Linked DNA regions of Oryzias latipes. The protein of the gene in region 4 purifies or fractionates together with the protein of the main gene of each other region. This does not show direct contact. Links are inferred from orthologs where the notes say so. Each region holds a gene or a part of one and is shown on either strand. Other genes may lie near its edges. The genes, in order: lin52, e2f4, rbl1, lin37, tfdp1, lin54 and mybl2.

Region 1 (4,107 bases), on a different chromosome or scaffold from region 4:
TTGGTGGATGGCTGCTACTTCAGCTCAGCATCCTTTACAGGTGAGACTCATAAGAGAGCCCTAACTTTGCAGTTTATATCAGGTGAAAGTAACTCTTCTCGTAACTTTTTGCATTGCAAAGTGCTAAATACTGTAAGGCAGACCTCATATTTACATCTAGTTGGTGGGAATGTAAAGGCAATAAAGAATTTGTTGATTTTGAGTAGATCTTTGTCTTCCTTCCAGTTTCTACCTTTTTCATCCTCTGTCCTATGGCATGATGGGTCCTCTTGCCCATGAGCCGGGCAGTGCCATGGCAGGCCTGAAGTGGATAGACTCCTGGGACTTCTAGTTATCCTTGTTTGATTAAGATGTCACAGACACGGAGCATTTTGAGCCGAGGGAATTTCAAAACATCAGTTTGAGTCTAAACATTTCATTTGTCTTTCTGTAAGAAAAAATGTGAATTCAGTCAGTTTGGAAAGCAGATTGTAGAATCTTTTAAGATGCACTGGAGTTGTCACCAAGTTGCCTTTAGTGACAAACTAAATTCCATTTGAAAGAGACAGTAGTTGTTGTTTTTTTTAAAGCCAGAACATTTTACATGTATTTTTAGTTGAGATTGTCCTGAGCTTTAGTATTATACTTTTGATTTTGTGTTTTTATTATGTTGATCAATAAATTGTTTTATTCTTGTATTTCATGTCCTGTTATATTTGCAAAATTTACAAACACAAAACGAGATGTGCCGCAAAGTCAAAAAATTGGAAAACTCAATATATATATATATATATATATATATATATATATATATATATATATATATATATATATATATAATAAATTGTACCGTTTTTTTATGTATACTTAAGTTCAAACTTGTAAAATCTGTGAAACATGGGCCTAGTAAACTAAATGCAAGAAATTGTTGTTATAAAAATATAAACTAAATGCAAAACATTCCAAATCTGGGATGTGAAAGTCTTGTTTAATAATTGAGTTATGGTTTTTCTTTCCAGAAATAAAAACTAGAGGGAATAAAAGGTGATTTAAATGTCCCCTAAGGTAAAACCATAAAATGTACCAGCATTGTAACATTTCATTGAGACTATGGTGGGCTTAAATAAGGGTCTTTTCATTAAGTTATGACAGTAATGTTCGTACTACAATTTCTAAGACGATATAAATCTTTGAATAAAACGAACAGTAATCTTCTGTGCCTCTTGTAAACAGCGCGAGCACCATTGCCGCCCTCTAGCGGCGTAATTTTGAAAAACATCGCCACACCTCAAAACAGAGCGCGGCCGCTGCGATTGGTTGTTGCATGTCACATGATTATTTTGAAGATGGCGTCTCCAAATGGAGGTAAATTTTAATTCTTCTCTCCGATACGCTTTGAATACATCGCAAATGTGACAGTTTCGAGACATTTAAGTCGTTAACAGTTATAACGCAGTGTAATGTGAACACCCAGAGGTAACGTAAAATTTGTCGTAGGACTAAATTCTTGTTTAATCGGTTTGTTTTTCTTCCTTTGTTTTTCCTGATTCTGGGACTGACATTGTCCGCCGTTGATGATGACAGCAGCAGTCCAGATTGTTCTTCTTGTTGCTTCGTTTGGCCGTTTGGCTCGAATTAGCATCAGTGCTACATTTAGCACTTAGTTATTTTTCTCTACTTTAAATTAGTAGTAGCTGTTTTGGTTGCTTGTTAGATTTTGTGTGACTGTTCGACTCCTTTGATTGAAAATGGAATCAGTCTGCTATTAAGTATTATGTCCGTAATGAGTATCTTTTAATGTGTTAAAAATGTTGAAAGCAAATTCTAAAAAGTTTAACAGTCTGCAGAACCAATAATGTTATTAGTTAGTAATTCACACTCTGTCAAGAGTTATTGAAATTTTGGATACAATTCTCTATATTGGTGAAGGACCAGTGTTCAGATTTGATAGCAAAAGTAATTGTTGATAAGAAAGAAAACCCTTTATACATATACAGACAAATAAGAAAGAAAAGTGTCTCTAACAAGTGTGCCAAGAAAAGATCCCCCATACCATCACACCACCACCACCAGCAGCCTCAACTGTTGATACAAGGCAGGATGGATCTATGGTTTTATGTTGTTGATGCTACCATCTGAATGTCCCAGCAGGAATGGAGACTCTTCAGACCAGATGTTTTTCTAATCTTCTATTGTCCAGTTTTGGTGAGCCTGTGTGAATTAAAGCTTCAGTTTCCTGATCTTAGCTGACAGTAATGGCAGCATTAGGTGTGGTCTTCTGCTGCTGTAGCCTATCTGCCTCAAGGGTTGTTCAGAGATGCTCTTCTGCAGACCTTGGTTGAAACCAGTGGTTCTTTGAGTTCCTGTTTCCTTTCTATTAGCTGGAACCGGTCTGGCCATTCTCCTCTGATCTCTCACATCAACGAGGCATTTCTGTTTAAATGGCCAAACATATTTTTACAGCAGTGTAAGAGTTATTAGTAGATGATCAGATCACCACATGACTATGACCTCTTTGAACATTTTAATTGATCAGTGTTTGTACGAATCTTAAATGAATAAAACCATTTATTCTCATTCGAAACTGCCTAATTTTAAGACCAGATAAATATTAGATTTTTTCCTCTCTTTCTGTCTAGATAAAACATGAAACAAAAGTTGTTTTTAGGTTTCAATTTTTGACCTGTTTATAAAAAGTTACTTTTTAATTTTTTTTAAATTAACATTTGGCTGAATTTTATAGTTGACCACTGATTTCCAAAAGCATAGAACTTAAAAAACTAAAGAACATGTCAAAGTGAACCACTGTGTGCTTCTGCAGGGGAGGATTTTGAGATTTCGTTGCTGAGTTTTGAGAAGCTGGACAGAGCATCACCTGACCTGTGGCCAGAGCAGTGTAAGTTTCTATCCTCCCACGCCCAGCTGATAAAAAATTACTTTGTAATTGATTCTTTATGTGAATTCTCACACAGTGCCTGGAGTTGCAGAGTTTGCGGCAACTTGCAAAAATGTGAGTTTAGCTCTGATCTAAAGATGCAGGATTGACTCTGCATAGACTGATTGGAGTTGAGACTTTGTATGTTGTTGTTTTTCTCTTTTTATTGCAGCCTATCACCACCTCTCCTCCAAAGTGGATGGCTGAGTTGGAGAGTGAGGACATTGAAATGTTGAAAGGTTGGTTCAGACAGCTGACATTTATCCTGTATAAACCTTAGGGAAAACATTAAAAACCCACTCTGATAAGAAAAACCGTGTTTTGAACATGTTCTTGTGGCATTTGATATCTTGACATCTGATAATGGAGGACACGTATAAAGAAAATTAAGCTTGAAATTGCATTTCTGAGTTCTTATTTATTCAAATCGTTGTGAATCAGGAGCAGATGAAAAAATGCTGTTTGAAATTTCTTATTTCTTAATCAATATTGCTCGCCATTTTCGTTTCTAAGGTTAGGTTGGGGGTGTGAGTGGCTGTAAGCTAGCAGTAGAGTGTATAAACTGATGATCTACTGCAGCTCTGCTCTAACTGTCCTTAAAAATCACACAGTGTTTTTTTTCTATCTCGGCAAAAAACGGCATAATCATTCATTAAAAGACCTCTGGGAACGCCTTTTAACCCTTGTGCTATCTTAGATGACCCCACCCTTACATTGACGTGTTCTTCCGACCATGACAAAGGTGGATAAAGGTGGAAAGATTTCATGTAATCCATGGACACCAGTGAAGATCATAAATCATTGAAGAAAAAAAGTTCAGCGCACTGTCTAGTGGGTCTACATGACCCAACTCCCAACGTTAAAGTGCCTAGGATAGCACAAGGGTTACAACAGATCAAAAGATCAAATCCGAGTGGGACTTTAAATAATAATTCATGTTTCTTTAGCTAATTAAGTATCTCTAAATGCTTTTATTTAGTGTGATGTTATACCTCTGCAGAGCTGGGAAGTCTGACTACAGCCAATCTGATGGAAAAAGTCAAAGGACTTCAGAATCTGGCTTACCAGCTGGGTTTAGAGGAGTGTAAGTATAACAAAGACACTTCACCACTAGGGGGGGCTAAAAGCATTTCCACGCAATTCTCTGCCGCTGAAGTCTTTGGCTGCTTCCACATTCAAATTCCAAACAGGTT
Region 2 (3,984 bases), on a different chromosome or scaffold from region 4:
TTGAACGATCCAGTTCAATCACTGACCTAAAATCCAGCCAGGACATTTTTAGCCAAAACTTTTAAACCAGTGTGACTCTGGTACTCTGATACTTCTGGCAAGTGTAGAGTTGATGTGTACACATAAACAAGTAAACAAAAATTAAAAGAAAATCCATTCAAATTTTGGTTTCATAAAGTTGTAACACATGACCACATGTCTTTACACAATTCAAAGTGTTTCCACACATTGGACTGTAACATTCTTTTTTATTTTTTGGCTGCCACCACATATGTGTTGTCTGCTGTGATGCACTTGGTCGCTTTTATGTTACGGTAAAATAAACCTACCATGTCTCCAAATGCTATTTTCCAATCTTGACATTTTCGATTTATTTAATTTTGAAAAGATTTTATAATAGTTTGAATAGATAATAGATTAACAACTGCCCTAGAAAATATGTAGAAATATAAAATTGTTTCACTGATTAAGTCGATTAATCGTTACACCCCTATAATAACTTTTAAACTTAAATTATGTGGTAACATTTTTGTGGTTAAAAAAAATAAAGTCGTTAGGATGCAATACTGAACTCAAATAGTTAAATTCAAAATATTTAATTTACAAACCAATGTTTACACAGTACACTAATTCGCACTGCTTTGCAACCTTGAAAATGTTTCAGTCAATGACAATGTGGTTTGGAAGAAAAGCTTTAGAGGGGAAAATAATTTTCAAATATTCATTTGAAGAACGGTGCCTGCGTGTGCGCGCGTGGAAGTGCGTTTTCTTCAAGTTTAAGTTGCTAAGAGTTCGAGTTAAACTTTCTCCTCTACCAAAAATTCTTGCAACCAATACTTCCCCTAAAATCGCAATAGAAAAACTACTAACCGTCTTTTTTCATACTTTTTTCAATGTTACATTAAAAATAAATCACTAGAAATACATGTTCGTGCTAGCAAATGTATTTTTTACGTGGTTTTATTTTTTCATGAACATTTGCACACGGTCCCTAAAACGAAAGCACCGTCCCGTCATACCTCGCGTGGCCAACGGCTCTCCACCGACTGCTCCTTCATTGAATTTCCATACTCGCTGCTTCAGCTCGATTTTGCTCAGTTATTTTCAGAAAAGCAGCTAGTATTGACTCGTAAATTTGCACCACACCATCCACGCGTGTGTGTTTCGAACTGCGGCGGTGGAGCTTTCTTTCTTGGGCTCGCTGGCTGGATTTAGTCGGAAAGCAGGCAAGAGAAGAGGGGAAGTACGGAGCTGATCCGGAGCAATGATGGAGCTGGAGACGGCCAGTAACAGAGGCGACCCGGGAACCGTGGGAGACTCGCTGCAACCGCAGACGCCGAGCAGGCACGAGAAGAGCCTGGGCTTGCTCACGACGAAGTTCGTCACTTTATTACAAGAGGCGAAGGACGGAGTCCTGGATCTGAAAGCTGTGAGCTCTTTGTTGTTAGCTAGCACATGTCACTTTGAGCCAGCCCGCAGTCGTTAAGTTACATGGTATCTAGCTAGCATGCTAGCCTAGCTTAGCTGTGTGACAGGCTAATTTGAATGAAAGATAGCTTTGCCTTCTAAGTTTGTTGTTTTAGTTCACCACTTTTACAATTAAAATCACATTTAATATTTTATGGTGCAGATTTTTGCCTTTCTGAGTGAAGAAACGAAGTGAATTTCAAGAACACCGGTCAACTTTTTTCGACTCTCTGCCCCCCTGCAGATTCAAAGTTTAGAAAGTGGGTCAGCTTTTGTCATTCTACTCTCAGTTAAAGCCACTGCACCTTCACACTTGAGCAAGTTTGTTTTATGATTGATTGCGTCTTTGTCCACGAACGACATGCGTTTATAATGTTGCTTTTCAGAAATGACTCAAAGCGTGAAGTAGTACTCGCACAGATGTTGATTAAATTAGGCTAGCTTTGTTTTTCACAGTACAGGGGCCACATTTCCACATTTCCATCACTAGCTTTAATGCAGGAATGTTTACTATTGGGATTCTGCTAAAGTCCCACATTGTTTGATGTAAAAGCTCAAATAGTTTTCTACAAATACAAAAAAATATATAACGTTTGCACTTTTCATATTTTTACATTAGGGGTGTTACGATTTATTTGAACAATTTGATCCACTTTATAATTTGTGCTTCACGACATGATTTATAGTCCGGGACATCTTTAGCCAAAACATCAATCAGTGGGACTCAGAGATAAATAAATGGGTACTGAACAGTGTCACTTGTATTTCTTGTAAATGTAAATAAAATGGCTTAACAAACAAACAAGTAATTCCCATTTTAGTGTCAAAGTTCAGCCCACTTTTGCCATAGATAGGGTTGTTACGAATAATCAGTAAATCGATTTATATTGCTGCGATCCAACCAGATTGACCTGAAGCAAGTTGTTAATTGAGTCAACGTGTTTTATTATTATAAAATCCTTTCAAAATGAAATAAATCAATTATATGGATATAGGAAAACACCATTTGGATTGAGGTTCTGAAGGTTTATTTGACCATAACTGTAAAAATAACCGAGTGCATCACAGTAGACAACACGCATGTGACGGCAGCAAAGCATGACCAACCATCATTACGGCTCGATGTGTGGAAACATAATTTTTGACCATACAGTGTGGTCATATGTCGCAACTTGATGAAACCAAAAATGTGAATGGATTTGACTAGGGCTGCACGATATAATGAGGAAAACTCGCGGTATGCGATATTAGTGATAAACATTGCGATGAGGATATAACTTGCGATACATGAACAAATAGCAAAACGATCAAAACCATAATTTCCATTTCACTGCAACAGTTTTAATTTAAATAAGAGTTGCCCCTCGTCTACATAGGAGGCCAACATAAAAGAGCTCCATCCCATTGGTCAACCACGTGAAAGGCTCCATCTGATTGGTCAAATGTTTAAATGAATTTATTTGATTCATTAAATACTTCAAGCTGCTATGAGATTGTTTTAGCACTCTTAAGGTTACGATTTATTGCAATTTTTGCAGACTTTTGCATGATATATCATATCATGATAACGATAAATTAGTGATTTATTGTGTCTAGATTTGCCATTCATTCTTGTTTGTGTGTTTGTACACTTATTTAATTTACGCTTGGTTATTTTGCAAGGAATCTGGAAAACCTCCGCTGTGCTGTTCAGTACCAGGTATTTCTCTCTGAGTCCCACTGATTGATGTTTTGGCTAAAAATGTCCTGGATCTATTTTAGGTCAGTGAATCGGATCGTTCAAAATGAACAAATATCTACTATAAATCGTATTGTCAACCACAAATTATTATATTAACCGAATTGTTCAAAAGGATCAATACACCCTAAAAAATGTAACATTCTTAGAACATTCTAGCCCACTGGATGGGACCATGTCTTTGCTAAATTCAAAGTTTTTCCACAAACTGGACTGGAATGACGGTTGATCAGTTTTTGCTGATATCACTTGTGTGTTGTCTGCTGTGATGGTCGATTTTACATTATAGTAAATAAACCTAACGTGCCTCAATCCAAATGGTATTTTCCAATATAACTAATTTATTACATTTTGAAAGGATTTTTTTTTAATGGTATAGGTCGCTTGGATCAGCAACTTGCCTCAGACAGATTTATTTGGTTGGATCGTAGTAATATAAATCAATTTATCAAATAAGTGGATTGATTGTTTCCCCCCTAATGTACATATTTTTCTATAACAGTCATAGAAGAGAGACACTTGAGTCTAAAATCATTTAAATTACAACACACTGATTCTGTTTTGTTATTTTCTTAACTGTCATTTTGACCATTCAGGCATTACATTATGTATGAAGAGTTCTGCTTCTTCTCTTTTTGAGTCTGTCTTCCTGATCATTTCCTTCTTGTGTGACTGGGTTGATATAGTGTCTGCTGATACTCTAAGCTGCGCTGCACCTCGCAGATAAAACACTCCACGCACGTGCACACATTTTTTTTCTTTTTCTTTCCAACTGACTT
Region 3 (4,290 bases), on a different chromosome or scaffold from region 4:
GCTCAAGCAAACCCAGAGGGTTCAGGAAGGTCGTCCGGCTTGTTTCTCGGTACCTTTGGTGTAGACAAAGAGGGTCCAGCAGAACTTGAAGACATCACTGATGTGACAGGGCAGCCGTCTGCAGACACACAGGAGCAGATCCTAAAGCCCAGAACATTCCGGAAAACTCCACATCTGCTGAAAGCTGCTGTCGGTGCAAACATGCAGCAGCGTCTCTGACGTGGAGGTCAGAGTTCAAGCTGTGTCTGCAGTAGAGATGGAGCTGCAACGGATCCCAACACTCACGGTTTGGATCATGTCTCAGATCAGTAAAAAGGATGAAACATCAAGACAAAAGCCTAAAATGTATTTGTTTTTGTCAAAACCTTTGCTCGGGTTTTATTTGAACTCAAGATATTCCAACAAGACGCAATGCACCATGTGTGTATGTGTGTATATATAGTATACTGTGGACATGTATATAGTATACACCGTCATGCCTGAGGCGCGCCGGCGTCCCACCTGTGCTTCCTGCTGCGGGGCTGCCGGGGGGGCTCGCTGCCCTGTGGGTTCTGGAACATGTCCATGAAGATGGGCTCGAACTTGCGGAAGATCACGGTGGACACCTCAAAGTTTCGCTCCAGCCGGTCCATCCTCAGCCGGAAGTCTTGTGACAGGTTTGACATGTCGGCCCACTTCCTCATCTTAGAGAAGAACTGGATCAGGCTGGGAGGGGGGCCGACAACAAACGGGACCAAACATGAAGACGCAAATCCCAAAGTTGCACAGGCGGATCCCGTTTGACCGGGACTGGCTGTAAAATCCAGCAGAAGCTGCAGAGCAGAACCTGACCTGAGCTTGGAGCAGCGCAGGATCCGGGTCAGGGACACACAGTTGCCCTCCATCAGCCCCTTCCCCACAGTGGGGGTGGACCCCTTCCTGCAGGCGGCGTACAGAGAACAGGCCAGCCAGTGGACCACCTCCCCCTGCAGGAACACAACGGCACATTTCTGCATCGTCCAGCTCTGCCCACCCACCGGTGCCCGAGTGCCCTTGGGCCTGTTAGCGTCTGGCATGGCAGCTGTGCCTCCATTGGTGCGTGAATGAAATGATTGGTAAAGGTTCAGGTTCTTCTGAACAAAACCCTGTGCTAAACCCTCAGGAACAGCTAGTAGATGAAACATGAACACGTTCAGCATTCAGTCACATTTCAGTAAAATACTGCGTTTTATTTCATTCTTTTCATTTTGCTCAAAATAGACTTTACATCTTTAACCATATGAATTCATAATGAGGTGTAACAGCTGTTTTATGGAGACAACAACAGAGATAAACGATTTCCTAACGTTCACTCGTCTAGTTAAAATAACGCATCAACATAAAATCCAGTTATTACAACTAAATGTACAACATTTGGATCCGTTTGGAACCAAATATGCTACAAAAATGCTGAATTTATTCACCAGAGTGACGTCATTTTTCTACATTTAAAGAAACATTGAATCATGTGAAGAATTTCAGGCATCTCCATCTTCAACGCCATCGTGTTAAACAGCAGCAGGAGCGCACAGAACAAATCCACCATCTCAACCCTGAGATCAAACAAATCCATAAAAAATCATCAAATAAAAACAACTAAACTCATTTCCTCCAAATGGCCCATTCACTGTAACCTTTTCCTGTTTTTAAATATTTTTATTATTTGTATTTATTTAAATTGCTGTTTTAACTGTTTATTATATTTTATATAAGTACATATGATGTACAGCAACCTTGAGTGCTCAGAAAGGCGCCATCTAAATAAAATGTGTGATTATTATTACTGTATATTAATCAAAGAGCTAAAACAAATCTAGTAAAGTTTTGGACGTTTCTGTTCTTTGGGTCACTTTTCTAGACAGCAACAGATAAATGAACAGAGTCCCTTTTAAAGCCACATCAAATCAAAAATCCAGATATTAGACGCCTTTGATTACAAATCCTCCTTTATGCAGGTGAGTCGTGCTGTGTTCACTGCCCTGTTCAATCAGTAGGAATTTATAATTCTCTTTACGCCCCTCAAATACTGTTTTCTTGCTAATATTTTCTTAGTTTTTGCTAAAAAAATAAGGACTTCATATTTAAAAATTCAGTGCATCCACCTCCATGTTGTAGATAATAAATACACCTTCCGTTTATTGCCATCTATTTATTGCCATTAGTTACCAGGTAAACCTAAAGACGAGGCTCCTCTTCCCGTCACCTGCAGCATCTCGCTGTGACGTTGATTCAACAACGGACGTAAACAACAATCCTATGACTCAAATCAACACCTGGATGTTTTAACTCAGTCTCACAAATAAGCCTCATTTCAGTGTTTCTGTGTGTAAACACAAAAATCTCCGGTAAGCTTCAGGAAAACTCACGTCACAGCATCATGTATTAATGTATATCATGACCGGAGGTCGCAGAGCAGAAGCGCTCGTTGGCTCATAGCGGGTCAGTCTACAGCGCCCCCGGGAGACTCTAACCCCCCCCCGAACCGAACCGAACCGAAGCCAGTCGTTTACCTCCAGAGTGTATGTGTTCCATATGGAGGTGAAGTTGTCCATGGCCTCACTGGCTGTCTGCTCGTCCATGTTGAGCTCCTGACACAGCACCTCCAAACTCCTCCGGACCGAACTCTCCTCCATCCTCCCCGACTCAGAATCCGAAGACTCCTCCCCTCTCATCCACAGAACCAGCGCTGCCCGTCCGCGCAGCTCGAATCCGACCCACAGAACCAAACAACGGCGGAGCCGAGCTCTCACCACAACAACACGGTTCCCGTCGCTTCCGCTAACAGCTCCCAGCATGCAGTGCGGTGGCGCGAAAACTTTACCCTTCTGACCAATCAGAGGCGAGAAACCTACGCCCCCCTCTCCCCCTTTCTTATGTACCGGATGTCAACTTTTTTTTCTAAAACTTTATAAAAAACAAAAGCACGAACACATTGAAGGCAAAAACTTCTCTGGCCACTAGGAGGCAGGGACATTAGTTATCATTATCGGTTATTATTACTGGTTATTATTATTGTTAATTATTATTGGTTATTATTATCGGTTATTATTATTGGTTATTATTATTGTTAATTATTATTGGTTATTATTATCGGTTATTATTATTGGTTATTATTATTGGTTCTTACTACTGGTTGTTATTATTGGTTACTACAATTGGTCATTATTATTTGTTATTTTTATCGGTTATTATTATTGGTTATTATTATTGTTAATTATTATTGGTTATTATTATCGGTTATTATTATTGGTTATTATTATTAGTAATTATTATTGGTAATTATTATTGGTTATTATTATTAGTAATTATTATTGGTTATTATTATTGTTAATTATTATTGGTTATTATTATCGGTTATTATTATTGGTTATTATTATTAGTAATTATTATTGGTAATTATTATTGGTTATTATTATTAGTAATTATTATTGGTAATTATTATTGGTTATTATTATTGGTAGTTACTATTGGTTATTACTCCCTCCCTACATTTGTTCCTTAATCACAAGGAGAAGTGTGGAATCTCACTCCTCTGATCCTTAGACGGTTGTTTCTGTTCCATTTGCTGCACAGAGCTGGGAAAAAGCCTTAGTCCACTCTGCTCCTCCTGCTTGGAAAATGCTGCAGAAAGACTGGAAACTAACTGAACTGGTATCTTTAAATGTTTTTAAGAACAAGCTCAAAGCATCAGAGACTGAAACAATAATGTGCAACTGCTTCTCATGATGTATGTGGTTTTAATGATGTTTGTTTTTATGTATTTTTTTGTATTGAAATGTGCCTCTGGACCAAGACTCCCTTGAAAAAAAGATCTTGTCTCAATAGGACTACCTGGTAGAATAAAGGTAAAGTAAAAACCTCTGGAAAAGTAATAATAAAAAGAAACATTCAAAAATCACAATTTAAGCATTTATAGCTCAAACCTAGATATTTTGTTCAAGTGGAAATACAAATTTAAACAGCATAAAACGATGGACTAAAAACGAATGGGGACATTTAGTTTCTGGGATTTTTCCTACATGGTCTGGCTGCTTTAGACAGTTAAATATAATTCATCATAACAAACAAGTTATTGAACATTTAATTAGCAAAATGTTACAAAAACAGAGTAACAAGAAGTAATTGATTTGTTTCTTTGACTTGCTTTATCTATAAGAGAAGCCACAATTTTCATCCTGACTCAACTGCAACAATTAAGACTTCTCATTATTATTATTATCACATTATTAAGAACCAGAAACATGTAATTTGATAAAAAGTTATTTTTTACAT
Region 4 (4,074 bases):
TGCTGCTTTACGAACAAAGATAAAGAATGCTCTTTATGATATTGTGATGTTGAATTACAAAGAGATTGGTAAATTTTCCCTGTAAATACAGATTCATATTGCCCTTGTTGGACATGTTGGACAGCCCCACCTCTTCCTCTGTCATGCCGGGCGGGGAGCCGGGGGAGGCTACAGACTCTCGAACAGAAGGATTGTTTTTCATCCAGGCACGGCAGATCGGATACAACGGGGTGCTGGTGTTAAACTGAGCCAAATCGACGCTGCGATCAAACAGCTTAATGATGTAGGCATCTAGGAGCAAAGCAGATCAAATAGAAACGCTTCTTAACAATTGAAAAACTGCTGTAAATGAAAAGCTTGCACACAATAAAAAGCAAAAGTCAGAGTCAAATTTACTTTGTTTATGCTGATTAGTCTCTGGTATTCCCTCTTCCATCTCTTTCCTTTTCTTTCTACGGTGTTGTGGAAATCGAGTTGATTGTCTGAAAAAAATAAAAATAAAATACCACATCAAAACAATAAATACAATTCATGTTAACTGTTTCAAATAGTCGCTTTTCTGTAAAAAAAATGTTTAGGAACAGTACAGGACATAAAAAAGTATAAAAGACATTATTAACCCACGTTCTGAATACAGAGACTTACCTTTTTCCAGCAGATGATGGAGACAAATCCCTAAAAAGGGCAGAAAGGATGTTATCTCAAAACAAGAAATTCATTTGATCATTATTTAAAATACTCAAAAAGCATCAAAGTAACAGCTGAATTCACTGCAGCTTTATACAGTATATTGTAATGTACTGTACTGTACAAAGCTGCAGTATACTGTATAATATACTGTATACTACAGCTTTATGCAGTATATTAGAATATATATCTCTATTTTAAACTGTGTGCAATATTCATGCTGTATGTGCAATATCCATTCTAATGTGGAATACCCACTCGTGCAATATTCACCCCACTCTACTGTACAGTATTTAAGTATTTATGCCTTATATAGCTCCTTATTCTTATTTTATTTTATTCTACCTTTTTATATCGAGAGTTGCTGGAAAAAATTTCATTGTGCTCTGCAGAATGATAATAAAAGATTCTGATTCTGATATCAATTCCTCCTCACTTATAATTAAACAGAACAAAAGAAAAATTTACTGAGCTTACTTGTTTAAAGAATCCACAGATATTTTCCCAGGATCATTTTCGTTTGGATCCCTGTTTAAAGCATAACGACAATTTTAGACAGTGATGAGCGATCATTATGATGATAATAATAATAATAAACTTTATTTGTATAGCCCCTTTCAAGATAAAAATCACAAAGTGCTTCACAGTAAAACAGAATATAAAAAGAATTATGAAAAAGCATCACAATCTCACTAACTTCTCATGTTCACTCTTCTCTACAAGTCCTTTCAGCACAGCATCCAGTCTGCTGCGTGCACCGCTTTCCTCCAGCTCTGTAATAGAAACAGTTACAAAAATTATAACAGAAAACATGGATAACCATAAAATTATTACCATTAAAAGATATGTGCAATTAATTTAGCTATGAAGTTCCCAAAATCTTAAATATTTTGGATGGTAAATAAAAAAGAAATCGGACTTTTTTGAAGATACAAAGTACTATATGGAATCTAGTGGTTCCTTAACAATATTTACACACAATTTATTAAGCTATACCGTACCATAATTTTACATTTACAAGGAACGATTGGATCAAAACTGGATTATGACAACGATGCAAAAATTTGTAATGAAATAACTCACTAGGGGTGGGATCATACAAATGTCTTCCTACTCCTTTTCAATTAAAAATTAAAACTTGACTTTAGTTGGTAATCATATGGAATGAATCTGATGTGACCTAAATGTGTATTCTCTGCATCATTGCAGAAAAATCGATTCTGGATTATGAGTAATTACTATAACTTTCTTCTTACATTTTTTTTAATCAGTGCATTTCATTATTTCTGTTTGATAAAACTGTGTGATTTCCTTTTCTGTATTGTCTACAATCAATGCTTGAACTAAACCAATGGATCAACCAATTCCTAAATAGACGTTTTTAAGGGGTTAGGAGAAATTATTACACAAATCACAATTAAATAATTAACTGCGCTTAATTTTTTTTAAACGTTTCATTTATTATAAACCAAATGTTATATTATTTTTATACATATAATAATAATGTGCTTAACTAGTTTGTTATTACCCCTACACATTACAATGTAAATTATTTGACTTCTTTTTTTTTTACTGCCAGAGCCTTTCGGTGTCTCTGTGAAGCTCTTTTAACTAAAGGTGTCTAATTAAATAAAACAACAGTTCGTGAAAATAGCCCTGCTCTCTCTTACCTGGCCTTTCCGACTTGATCTTGACGTGGTGCATGGTGTCAAACAATATTTCCCAGGGGGTAAAAACAGATCTGCGTAGTAGATCAGTAACTACAGGTAGTCACAGTTTAATTTGTTTTAAAACAATTAAATATGCACCGAAACTAGCTGCGCTCCTGCTTTCAGTTAAGTTAGCTAACCTTTGCGTTAGCCTCACCCCAAACTCTTAAAATTACGCCACAATTTTTTTATCTACATGTATTTAATTATTAAATTGACACGAAGAGAAACATTTTACCCTACCAACTACATCTATGTAACAACAATATTACACTGTTCACGCTCTGTTCGATGTGGTCAAGTAGTGTTGTGGGTAAGCTAGTGGCCAAACAACCGTTGCTAACTGCGTTTTTTTTTACCCAGAAGTATCCCTGTCAAGGTTTTCTCTTCCGCGCGCTGTAGACTCTATGATCTGATTGGATGCTTTGTGAGCAGAATCTTACTATTATTGGACAACTGTTCTGTCCATTATTCAAAACTCAGCCCCTGATTGGTCAATTTCCACAAGCTGTGTTCTTTGCCGTAAACAACTCAAACGCTACAGCTTTTCTGGTTTCATCCATCTTGTTAGGTGTACTTTAATCAAAAAGCCAACTAGGTAGGTTTTTCTTTTCTTCACAAAATCTTAACTTTTGGTCTTGTAAATCTGTGTCATTGTTGTTGTACGTGTTTGTTATGGGTCAATGTGTTGCTTGATGTTGTGGTGTGGATGTGCAAATCCACAGGTCAGGATTTTTTTATCATCCACCAAATGAGCAGAAAAGTACAGTTTAAATTAGACTAGAGAGGAGGGGTCAGAAAATTAGAAGTAAAAATAATAAACATACAACTTATTTTATGCGTTTTACTATTGCTTAATCATTTTTATTAAAAAAATTGTGTTGATGCTGTTCTCACAGGGCAGAAATTTCATCTGCCACCATCCATGGAAAGAAGGGCACACAAGCAATCATCCAGCAAGCAACTTCTGTCAAAGACAAAGAACAAAAGTGTTAGTATTAAAGATAACTTCATTAACATCTTTGTTGTCAAGTCGATTCTAACTATTACTTCATACTTCTTGTACTTCTTACAGACGCGCAGTCCTGGTTGCACAAGCAGGAGATCCGGTGTAAAATTACAATCATGTGCTCAGAAAAATCAGAAACTGTTTAAGAAACATGATCGCCATGTTTCTTCTACTGGTGGACAATCTGTGGCTGCTGAGTCTTGGCAGTCCCCTGAACACGCATCTCGTCTTGGTAGCATCACTCCTGATATGGAGGAAAGAGATCAGCCTCTGAGGTCTGAGGCTTCCAAAGATTCCTCAGGAGTTCAGGAAGATTCTGTGCTGGCTAAGTGCGTGCCGTGCTGTCTGGTTTCATCACAATCTCATTTCATATTTAGTCTTTTAACGTTGCTCGACAAATCATTAACCTTTGCTTTTTGAAGATACATAGAACGTTTTCGACATGGTCTACCTCAGAGTCGGAAACAGCGCCAGCCAGTGACTCCTGTCTCTGGAGAAGAGCAGGAACCTTTGTGGTGGATGTTCCACTCATCATCTCCCTGTGGAAAACAAACTAAAACATTACATAAAGGTACATTTTATCTCTTACCTTTGTACCCGATAATCAAACAGTTATTTTCATAATAGTGTATGTTTATTATCATCTGCATGATCTTACTATCCCTGGAC
Region 5 (2,506 bases), on a different chromosome or scaffold from region 4:
TGGAGCCATTTTTACAACTGCTTCAACAAAGCATTTCATGTTTGAAGTTTCAAAAAAGCTTTAAAGTTAAGGTGACGTCTTCTGTCTGAAAGTCTGTCTGCTTGTGTTAGAATTAACATTTCTTTGGAGACATAATGCTTGATGCTTCAGGAATGTGTTGGACAAACTAGGAGTGTGACGATAACCGCATCACTGCATTATGGTTTTTTTTAAAGTTCTGCATATGGTGCATGATTGGAACATAAGCACATTAAACACATTCATCTTTGCTGATAATTTACTTTTTCTGCTACTCCTGTGTTCAGACTTCAATGGTTTCTGGGGGAAACCTTTTATTGCAGTTCTCCTTCACTCCCTCTTGCGCTGCACGCACTCCCTCTTATATACACACGCGGGTTTCAGCAGCACATACACATCCTCATTCTACAACAGAAATTTCCATCTCGCGAGGACATACGACAAATTTACTGCGTTCTACTTATTCATTTCCATTGTATTAATTTTCATTACAAGCTGCATGCGTTCTTGAGTGCGCAACGGCTTTTGTGTTGGGGGGGTGGGGGGCGCAAGAGTCCCCATCACAGCTATACTCCAGAGTGGTTTAATAAAGAATCAGTCACTGTTATTCTGGGGGGAAACTTTTATTACTGTTCTCCTTCACTCTGTAACACTAAACACGAATGCGCACTGTTAGAGTGCGATTAATATCACTACATGTTTTGTTTGGGAACTATTTTGTGCAGCGCAAAGTTACGTGCCTGTATAAACAAAGCCGGAGCCTCCTGCCCCGTGTTCTTCATGGGTGTCAGGCTTCATGGCTACTGGAAAGGTGACAAAGTGTCTGCAGTCTTGTTTATTACTGGGCAATATATAATATTCTGAGAAGATGTCTGTACCAGAGAGCACAGGTGAAGGCTTGCATGCAGCTCCAGAGTGGTCCACTGCAGAAGAATCAACACTCACCCCCAACACACTTGTACCCGTTCAATCTACAACACCTTTATAGTTAGTTCTATAGTTAGACAGGTCTTAGTTACTGTTATTTGTTATTAAAGAATACTGGGTTGTAATTGTATTCATTTTTGATGCTGCCACCGGGGGATTATATGTGTTTTTTTTGGGTAGTTGGTTGGTTAACCGCGACACCACGCCGTCATTTGTGATCAAAAATCCCACACAGTCACAGCTCTAGGACAAACACTGTCCCTTTCGGCCTCTAGTGGCAGATGCTGGCACTCACCTATAACATAAGGCTCAAGCGCTTTGGGCACCAGGCTACGAGCAACCTTCAGGTCCTCTGGAGAACATTTTCCCACTTCCAAGCCGCAGGCCATGCCCATACGCTTCAGCACCTCGATATCATCATGGATCTCAAACATGCTGTCGAAATTGAACAAATACTCGAACCTGCGGACGAGGGAGAACAAAAACATCAGAAGGGTGAAACATCCACAGAACTCAGGTGACATGTGACACAAGCTTTAGTGGATTGGAACGATCCATCGAAGCGTGTCTGGGATCAACACTTTGACCTCCATAAATATTTGTAATGTGACTGATGAAGTCAGTAAAAGCAGGAGTTGCACAATAGCTGAAAAGTAAAAACTGTTTTGCTTTAAAATGGGGGGGGGGGGGGGGGGGGCATTTTTTTATGCAGTTCACCGTTTTCAAAGAGTTGATATACCATCAAAAAAATCTCTAAGATAAAATGAAGGGCTGCAAAGACGCTTTATATTACTAAATCTGCCTTTATCTTCATCTGCCTTTAGCCAACTACAGCAAAGAATAAAATAAAATTTAAAAAAAAAAAAATCAACATTTTCAGTCCCAGAGAAGGGAGGGTTGCTTACATTAAGACAGTAATGCTTTAAAAAAAAACCAACAGTTGATCTCCAACTCTGAGCTCAATTCAACAACGAAGAAAAGTTCTTCAGCCGGAGACATTAATACACGTGTAATGTTGTGCTTGTCCGACTCCGTCTTCACGTCGTCAAACACTTGGAGGCCTTGCAACTGCTGAGTCACTACAAAGCAAACCTGTTTACGCTCTTCATTTAGACCCCCAGTGTCATAGGGTAGCAAACACACAAGTGTGTACATGTGGGCCTCCCAGCTTGTTCTCCTCCTCTTTAAAACTGCTGGACTGAAACCACAGCGAGACGGCAGCACAGGGCACTAGGGATGGGTACTGTCTGAACAACAAACCAGTACTTTTGAAACTGTTCAGGACCCTTAACTGAGCTCCAACCAGTTCTTCAGGTCAGTTTACCAGCGTTCTGCTGCCACTGGCGGCAACCTTCCAGAGGCAATGTGTATTGCCCCAGGACAAGACGACATATAGGTGGGCAAGGTGGGAATCGAACCCGCAATATTCCGATCAGAGGTCGACTAACCCTTCACCATGGCTGCCCCTCACGCGACATGGTGAAGGAGAGTTATTTTTTAAATAACAATAAATGTTTCTTTGGGGACTTATTTGAGTTAATGAAAAATGGTGCAGCCATGT
Region 6 (3,500 bases), on a different chromosome or scaffold from region 4:
TAGAAGACGTTTTCTTTTTTAAGTTCTAAAACACAAAAAACGCACACAAAAAGAGAATAAAAAACTGCTCGTCAAACACTCAGCAGATCAATCATCGTGGGGGGGGGGGGGGGGGGTTTGTAGCCCCCGCCGGTTTCGTGAATGACTCAGAAAAGTGTGCGGTCTTGCCTTGCTGGGAGTCTTGAGTGGAGAAATGGCGATCTTCTTGCTGGCGATGTTCTGCAGGTTAGTGTTGTGAGGCTCGGACAGAGCGATGGTTCTGGGTGGCATCACGGGGGACTGCGTCTGCGTCACCACCCGGCCTGCTGGCAGATGGGGGGGGTGACTAAATGAGCGTTTGGTGGACAAAGACGCGGGTCGGGTCTGCAGATCTGCAGAGAGCTCACCTGCGATCACAGGGGTGACGGACGTCTGAGGACTCAGACTTTTGCTGTTGACCGTTTTGGTGATGATGAACTTGATGGGAGCCGCAGAGGAGACCGGGGTTTTCTTAGGAATCTGAGGATGGATATGAATGTCAGATCTGAACACAAACACCCATGAATTAGCTTTAAAAAATGGATTGATGCAATCGATCTTCATGCAGGAGAAATTAAACAAACCGTTGAGTTGATTTCATTTTATAGAGATTTGTTGCATTTGCATCTGGAAAAATAATTTTGTTTTCAGTCTCCATGAAGGACGATTATATTCGATTGAAAAGAAAAATATATTGATATTTAAATAAACTGGTGTTTTGGGCTCTTGTGATTTTTTTTAAAGAACTCCAAACCGGATGGGCTCCAACCCTTATCTGCTGATGGAAACTATAAAATAAACTCAAAAGTGTCCGATCGTCACGATTTTGCGAGTCTGTACATTACAGAGCAAAACCCTGGAAAAGTATTAAATATTGACCGTCGTTCTAACTTTTGGTGGAGCATCATCCCTGCTGCGCCCACAACAGACACTGTTCAAGACCGGCAATGATGTCACATGACCGCTGTCACCCAATGTCAATCTTGTCCTGGTAGCCAATGGGCTCAAAGCCCCGCCCCCATGGAAAACTCGGGTGAACGCCAGGAAAAGTTCTGAATTGAAACAGAGGACTGAAAGCAAAGAAACGAAAAATCCAAATGTGAAACTAAAAACACAGCAGCTGTTTTTAATAAGCCTTTTTTTTTAGATTTATAAGCTTTTATTAAAGTTTCAAATCTAAAGCTTCTTTCAAGTCAAAAATAAATGTTCTTCAAATTTACAGTCTGCTTATTTATTCACTTTAAGTTGATTCTCATCTGATCCCATATTTTAAATAAAGTTTGACTTAGTTTGAATTTTTCCTCATTTTTACACACATTTAAAAAGCGATGCTTCACTCCTGAGCTTCACCGCACGTCTCTGATGTTTGACGGAAGATTCAAGGCCATCGGCGATGACCTGAAGACTGATCTGACGCAGAGCAGAAAACCAACCAGGCCTTAAAAAAACGGGAATCTGGATCGTCTCCAAACTGGAGGATGTGATCTGGATCGTTTTAGACTAAAGAGTTTCAACAAAAAATACTGCAATTACAACAGTGCAAACTATTTGATTGCTGCAAAGATTCAAGATATTTTAGCCAGGTTTAAAGTTGTTTTAACTAAAACTTCCCGAGCTCTGCGGAAAAAAAAAAATCTACACAGGTGAGAATTTTTTGCCTCGTATGGATCTAGAAATAAGGAAATTATTATTTAAATGAGTCCAAATAATTTTTATTTAAACTCAACTTCAAAAAAATTAAATAAAATGTATCAAAATTTATTAAGACAACTTGTTTTAAGATTCTCCTTTTGTTCTAAAATGAGTAATTTCTACTTATTACAGTTTTATTTTGTCACTGTAATGAAAATACAATTCGGTTCATTAAAACTGAAAATAAACCATTTACTTAAAACTGGCAAAGAAATACTGCTTTCAATAAATACAAGAAAAACCGTCACCTGGACTGTTCAGTACCTGATGTTTCTCTCTGAGTCACACTGGTTAAGCTTTTGGCTAAAGAGGTCCTGGATCGACGTTTGTTCAGTCAGTTCAAAATGAACCAATATTGACTGGGAATCGCATCGCAACCACTAATTATGATGTGTATCAATTTGCTTTTAAAAATGCATTGTTATACCTCTAATTTTTTTATATACATTCTTCATCATGACTAAAATGCCACAAGGACAAGAGTGGGTCTTGAGGTTCTCACAGTCCTGCTAATGGGAGTTCAAAGGTCACAGTAGCAGCCTCTGCGCTCAGGGTTACCTGTATAGTCTTGAGCTGCTGGGTTTGCACTGCGGTTACTTGGTTGCCTCCACTCCCCACCACTGGCTTCAGTTCTGACCCCCCAGCAATCGTGACCACTTTAAACTGCGGAGCCGGGGCCTTGCCGTCTCCTGAGGCCTGGACCACGCCGGGTTTGCTGGCCGCATGCGGCAGCTGCAGCACTATCGGCTGTCCTGACTTCCCTATGGTCGTGACCAGCAGCTTCTGTCCTTCTTGCTTGATGACCTGCGGCGGCGGCCCCGCAGACTTTGCAGCCTCCGCAGCTTGAGACGAGGCCACCTTGTTGAGGATGATCTGATGGTTGACGGAGGAAATGGTGAAGGGAGCGGTGAGCTTCTGTAAGCCGCCCGTGGACATGCTCGTCCCGGTCACGCTGTCCGTGGTTTTGGTGGGGGCCGTGGAGGTGGCCAGGCCCGGTTTGAGGGTGACCAGGCGCGACGGGCCGCTGGAAATGAGGATGGAGGAATGTCTGCTGGGGCTGAGCGTGGAGTCCGTAGGCGTTAGCTGGGTTTGGGAGTTACCCGTCGGCGCCGCGTCTTCGGAGACGCTGGGAGTTTGCGGGACGTCCGTTTCCATGGGAACTGTGGAGTCGTAGCAGGGCTCCGCCTGGACCGCGGCGCTGTCGGGCTGAGAGTGAGGCGCCTCCTCCATGGCCTCCGTGTCCATGATCTCATCAGGAAGGAGGCTGTTCAACTCGGGTGACACCACGTCCATGTTTGCAGCGTCTCCGCTCTGTCAATCCTGGAGAAACAAAAAAAAAAATGACAATGCTGAAAAATAGAAGAAAAAATATATATACACATCCATTTCAGAACCTGCTTAATCCTTTAAGGTCACGGGGGTTACATACATAAGCCACCCCAGCTACTGTTGGGTGAACACCACACACATGCATTCCCAACTAGAGGCAATTTAGAGATACAAATGAACCTCTGTAGCATGTTTTTGGAGTGTGGGAGGAAGCCAGAGTGCCCAGAGAAAACCCACAATGCACAGGGAGAACATGCAAACTCCCCACAAAAAGGATCCAAACTAAAGTCTCCTGACTGAGTTGAGAGGGTCAACCACCGCACCACCTGGGAATATCCTTTTACTTTTTTTTTTACTGTGTGTGAACGTTTGTGTGTGGTGCTGTGATGGACTGCAACCCCAATGTCTGCACAGGGTGAGAGTAAAGGTGGATAGATGGATGGATGCTGACAGATTTAGTC
Region 7 (4,228 bases), on a different chromosome or scaffold from region 4:
AAATGGAGGACTCTGCTCTCAAACTGTTCATCAGGGAGGAGGGGGAAAACCTTACCTTGTAAGACACAAGTGCTCTCCATCTTGTCTGGAGATGTGAAGGGCTCAGTCTGCTGGGTTTTAACCTGCCTCTTAATTGTCCCAGCTGGAGGCTGATTAGCTGAATGGAGACTTCCTGCTGCATAGGAAGTTTTGCATTTGTGTAATTTCTACCAAATATAATATACCCAACAAAAAGTACTTGTCATAAGAAAAAGATCAAAACATGACAACACCATAAATTAGACATAAATTAGAGTGGTTTTCTTTTATTTTCAACTGTGGGATGTATGACAAAATGAAAAAGAAAAACATAGGGAGTTCCTAAAAATATGCTCAAAAATTCCTGAAAAATTAGGAATTTGAGAACAGAAAAATTCCTAAAAAGAATTTAAACACAACATATTGAATTTCATGTAAGTAGTTTTTCTCTGGGGAAATTCACCCGGCGATAGTGCCCTAGAGTTAACCATAAGTACATGTATTCCCCTAAACTAATACACTATTTTTTAATCATAATATTTTGATATTTATATCAGTTTGATAGGTCATTGTATGAATGTCTAACTGATGATTGTATTGTTTTTGTGTACTATTCTTATTTGATTGCTTTAAATAAACCATTTTCTAATCCAAATATTTGAATTTTGTTTAATTTTCTTATGTGAAATCAAAATTACAAGTAAACTTTAAAAGTCAAATTAAATTACAGGCCTAAATGAAGCTGTTCGCTGATCTTAATTAATGAGAACTGTTCTATCCAAATTTTTACTGAGATTGAGAAGATTGAGCTTAAAAGAAAAGTTATAAGATGAACAATGTTTACCTTCAACTCGCAACAATCATAAAAGACCTAACTATTGACTAATCATTTTATCTTAGCTTATAAGAAGAGTTCACAAATATTTTATATATTCATATACTGATTCATTTAAAACTAACCTTTTCATTATTTTTTTTAACTGTTTTCCGGTTTTAGATTAAATTTAACTTTTTGGGTTATTATTTTTCTAGCTTTATTTATTTATTTGTTAGTTAGTTAGTTAGTTAAGTTAGTTTGGCTCTTTTATTTTTAAGTTGGTTTTGTAGTGTAATTATTTCTTTTAGGACAATGTATCTTTGCTTCAATATTTTCATTCATTTATTTGTCTATATCATTTTTTTTCAATTCTATGTTGTATTTTTTTGTCTATATAATTATTATTATTATTATATTTTAAATTATTTATTTATTATTTATTTATTTTATAAATCTTAATTACAGCACCTAATTAAAAACCATTTTGAATCAACCAAACATTACATTTATTTTATTATAAAGCGTCTTAACATTTTATTTTGAAGGTCATCCATAGAGGTTTGAAGCCTTCTGCGCAGATCTACGGAGCACCTACGTCACTTGAGAGTCAGCAGTACGGAGAAGGGCGCGAGATAGAAATTGCGGCGCGCGGACGAAGCTCGCGCCTACCTCTAGCTGTGGCTTCCCGGCTCTATTATAACTGCAGTCGAGGTTCTTTCGTCAGAACTGGACATCCTGCAACGACCCAGCCGTGTCACCTGCAGGTTTTTCCCGCAAACACCTGCAGCCCAGCCCGGTGAAGTCCACGTTTGACCCAAATAACAGTGGGAAATGTCATCGTGGCCGCGCGGGTAAGATCCGTGTTTTTGTTTGCTTTTAAGTTTGCTTGTTTGTTTATGTTGCATCTGATGAGCTGACTTCTGCTCCGATCGGGTTGTGGGGAGTTTGCGCGGACTTTGACTGCCGCCTTTTTTCCGGACTTGGCTCAAACTCCGACCAGAATCACCGCCGGTACTTTTCCAGATCACTGCTTCCTGTCAGTAAAGCTGAGCCGCAATCCCGCGGATCCGGTCTTTCTTCGGCGCCTTTAGGGTCAAATCTCAACCTCTTTAATGTGTCCCGGCAGGGAGGACGGGGAGGAGGCCGCGCATCCGGACACGGACACCGATCTGACGGAGTTCAGGGATGGAGGGAAAGTAAAGGTCAGATGGACGCAGGAGGAGGTAAAAGTTCACCCTGAGTGGGGCCTGTGATTCTAGTGCAGTGTTTTTCAACCTTTTTTGAGCCACGACACACTTTAACCTTGACAAAAATCCTGCGGCACACCAGCATCCAAAAATGTGAGAGAAAAAAGGAAAAACTTATAGTCAGTCTGTATTGATCTACTACAGCCCCTCCGCAATCTCACATGCATTTTTGTGACAATTGTGGCAGAAAAAGCTGGAAGTTGCAGCTGTTTTTTTTCTAAAAGATGTAATAAAAGTTAAGTTAAAAGATTTAAAAACTGTTTGATCTGTTTTCGTTGTGGTTTCAAGACGTTTAACAAGGACGACTCATTCTGCGCTAAGACGCTGTCACTTTAACCCAATGCATCATGGGAGATGTAGTGCAAACAGCCGCAGAACGCAGAAAGACTAGCGTCTCTGAGCTTCATTCTTTTGTCCACTTTTTCCACGGTCTGATACCAGATTCTGTGGAAAGCTGCACCGCTAAAGACGAGCTTTAGCTGATATTTTTGTTGGAACTGAGAGACTTTATGAGCAGAATCGGAACAAGGAAGTGAAGACTTTAACCACTTCTGATTGGTCAGACTGTTGACGTGTGATTGAGCCTCCAAGAATGATTGGTGGAGACAGTTAAAGGGGCGGGACTATTCCTTATACAACTGTAGCTGCGGCTAAATCACGGTACCGTCATTCTTATCAACATGTCTTTAATAGAATCAAATAAACACAAAGAAAAATGTATTTTATGGTCTTTCATATTCCTAACTACTCAGTGTTTTATCAGGGCCTGTTTGGATGAACAAAGAGCTGTTATCCTGGAGTTGGGAAATCTTTTTAGATCAGTTAATGAGGGCAATTTCCCACGGCACACCAGACCATCTCCCCCGGCACCACGGCACACTGGTTGAAAAACACTGATATAGTAGCCCTCGTGGTTTTGCAGCGTAAAACAAAAATGATTTGTGTTTGTTTGTTTTTTGCAGGACGACAAGCTCAAAGGTCTGGTTCAAAAACTGGGGACAAATGACTGGAAACGAATCTGCAGCCACCTCCCTGTAGGTCTAATAGGGGCGTATCTGTCTGATCATCACTTTGTGTTGCACTGCAGGAACTTTGATTTATACAAATTTACGAAATCTTACTTTTATACAGGGGCGGAGCTACAGGCGGGCAAGAGGGGGCACCCCCCCCCCCCCCCTGCATAAATCTTAGCCTCCTAATATTTGAGTTGATATGATAATCATTATTTTCATAGGTTTAGAAATCATAAATACTAGCTTCTTTAAGTATTGCAAAAATAATTTTAAAAAAAATTATTTTAAAAAAAAGTTCTTGTTGCCACCCTTTCAAAGTCTTCCACCCCCCCTTTAAAATCTTCTAGCTCCGCCTCTGCTTTTATGATTTCTTTCACTGAAATGTTTTCTTGCAATTATCCAACACTTTTATTGCTCAGACTTAAAAATATAAAACCAAGTTTCAGCGATTACCGTAGGCAGTTTTAATATTCAGTTTTCCCTTTTATAAAGCATTTAGAGTTTAATCCTAGTTCAAATTTTCCCAAAGAAGAGAATCCCCTTTTGTAGGATTTTGGTAAACCGAATGTTGGATTTGTCAAAGTTGGGTGACTTGATGTTTTTTTTGTTTGTTTAAACTTTTTTTGCACTAAAAATCTGGGATTAAAAGACTTAAAATTATAAAAATTCCTTCAAATTGCAGAAAAAAATTTAAGGTGAGAGGATTTAATCTGCACATTATTTCTGATGACAAAAGAACAAGGACAAACCTGCAGCAAAAAATAAAGTTACATATATTTCAGAAAAAAACATTTTTTTTGGTTTTTCAAATCCTGTAGAGAGAGAAAGAAAACTGCTTTTTAAAGTACTTTAAACAATTGTTTGTCTTTTTTGAAGAAAAGGTTAACAATTATTTCAATATCGTTTTTTGCAAGTACTGTTTTGGTGACAAACATGTTGGGATTGATCTGGAGATGATCGGGATCAGAGGTTTAGTTAGGACGTTTTTCCAAACCTGACGCTTGTTCTGTTGGTCCAGAACCACTCGGAGAACCAGTGTCAGCACCGCTGGTTTAAGGTTTTGGATCCCGAGCTGGTTAAAGGTCCGTGGACTAAAGAGGAAGACGAGAAGGTAAGCTGCCATTCAATTAGCA

The links.
Region 1: the proteins of lin37 (region 4) and lin52 purify together in Homo sapiens (affinity purification with mass spectrometry; 6 studies listed by BioGRID and IntAct, counting the BioPlex papers as one, with this or other methods). This does not show direct contact. The link is inferred for Oryzias latipes from reciprocal best matches to the Homo sapiens genes LIN37 and LIN52.
Region 2: the proteins of lin37 (region 4) and e2f4 purify together in Homo sapiens (co-immunoprecipitation; 4 studies listed by BioGRID and IntAct, with this or other methods). This does not show direct contact. The link is inferred for Oryzias latipes from reciprocal best matches to the Homo sapiens genes LIN37 and E2F4.
Region 3: the proteins of lin37 (region 4) and rbl1 purify together in Homo sapiens (affinity purification with mass spectrometry; 3 studies listed by BioGRID and IntAct, with this or other methods). This does not show direct contact. The link is inferred for Oryzias latipes from reciprocal best matches to the Homo sapiens genes LIN37 and RBL1.
Region 5: the proteins of lin37 (region 4) and tfdp1 purify together in Homo sapiens (co-immunoprecipitation; 3 studies listed by BioGRID and IntAct, with this or other methods). This does not show direct contact. The link is inferred for Oryzias latipes from reciprocal best matches to the Homo sapiens genes LIN37 and TFDP1.
Region 6: the proteins of lin37 (region 4) and lin54 purify together in Homo sapiens (affinity purification with mass spectrometry; 4 studies listed by BioGRID and IntAct, counting the BioPlex papers as one, with this or other methods). This does not show direct contact. The link is inferred for Oryzias latipes from reciprocal best matches to the Homo sapiens genes LIN37 and LIN54.
Region 7: the proteins of lin37 (region 4) and mybl2 purify together in Homo sapiens (affinity purification with mass spectrometry; 6 studies listed by BioGRID and IntAct, counting the BioPlex papers as one, with this or other methods). This does not show direct contact. The link is inferred for Oryzias latipes from reciprocal best matches to the Homo sapiens genes LIN37 and MYBL2.

The regions. Positions count from the first base shown.
Region 1 is NC_019880.2:13,721,245-13,725,351, forward strand, and holds the start of lin52 (protein lin-52 homolog), read left to right. Parts: upstream 1-1,307; 5' UTR 1,308-1,310; coding exon 1,311-1,344; intron 1,345-1,395; exon of another isoform or gene 1,396-1,455; intron 1,456-2,130; coding exon 2,131-2,184; intron 2,185-2,800; coding exon 2,801-2,875; intron 2,876-2,951; coding exon 2,952-2,989; intron 2,990-3,086; coding exon 3,087-3,153; intron 3,154-3,914; coding exon 3,915-3,998; intron 3,999-4,107. Other genes in the region: pomt2 (protein O-mannosyl-transferase 2), read left to right, coding at 1-40, 226-331.
Region 2 is NC_019864.2:28,153,448-28,157,431, reverse strand, and holds the start of e2f4 (transcription factor E2F4), read left to right. Parts: upstream 1-1,184; 5' UTR 1,185-1,264; coding exon 1,265-1,429; intron 1,430-3,984. UniProt on the Homo sapiens protein: Transcription activator that binds DNA cooperatively with DP proteins through the E2 recognition site, 5'-TTTC[CG]CGC-3' found in the promoter region of a number of genes whose products are involved in cell cycle regulation or in DNA replication.
Region 3 is NC_019863.2:32,786,893-32,791,182, forward strand, and holds the start of rbl1 (retinoblastoma-like protein 1), read right to left. Parts: upstream 2,801-4,290; 5' UTR 2,691-2,800; coding exon 2,529-2,690; intron 966-2,528; coding exon 832-965; intron 706-831; coding exon 502-705; intron 119-501; coding exon 54-118; intron 1-53. UniProt on the Homo sapiens protein: Key regulator of entry into cell division. Directly involved in heterochromatin formation by maintaining overall chromatin structure and, in particular, that of constitutive heterochromatin by stabilizing histone methylation.
Region 4 is NC_019874.2:15,177,520-15,181,593, forward strand, and holds the start of lin37 (protein lin-37 homolog), read right to left. Parts: upstream 2,801-4,074; 5' UTR 2,756-2,800; intron 2,429-2,755; 5' UTR 2,392-2,428; coding exon 2,358-2,391; intron 1,461-2,357; coding exon 1,385-1,460; intron 1,216-1,384; coding exon 1,165-1,215; intron 676-1,164; coding exon 646-675; intron 483-645; coding exon 397-482; intron 292-396; coding exon 131-291; intron 1-130. Other genes in the region: proser3 (proline and serine-rich protein 3), read left to right, coding at 3,322-3,387, 3,472-3,734, 3,828-3,976.
Region 5 is NC_019879.2:10,677,005-10,679,510, forward strand, and holds part of tfdp1 (transcription factor Dp-1), read right to left. Parts: intron 1,408-2,506; coding exon 1,241-1,407; intron 1-1,240. UniProt on the Homo sapiens protein: Can stimulate E2F-dependent transcription.
Region 6 is NC_019870.2:2,879,281-2,882,780, forward strand, and holds part of lin54 (protein lin-54 homolog), read right to left. Parts: intron 3,031-3,500; 5' UTR 3,004-3,030; coding exon 2,269-3,003; intron 499-2,268; coding exon 387-498; intron 306-386; coding exon 169-305; intron 1-168. UniProt on the Homo sapiens protein: Component of the DREAM complex, a multiprotein complex that can both act as a transcription activator or repressor depending on the context. In G0 phase, the complex binds to more than 800 promoters and is required for repression of E2F target genes.
Region 7 is NC_019863.2:23,223,541-23,227,768, reverse strand, and holds the start of mybl2 (myb-related protein B), read left to right. Parts: upstream 1-1,428; 5' UTR 1,429-1,666; coding exon 1,667-1,686; intron 1,687-1,961; coding exon 1,962-2,058; intron 2,059-3,044; coding exon 3,045-3,116; intron 3,117-4,113; coding exon 4,114-4,206; intron 4,207-4,228. Other genes in the region: uncharacterized protein LOC101163484, read right to left, coding at 56-80. UniProt on the Homo sapiens protein: Transcription factor involved in the regulation of cell survival, proliferation, and differentiation. Transactivates the expression of the CLU gene.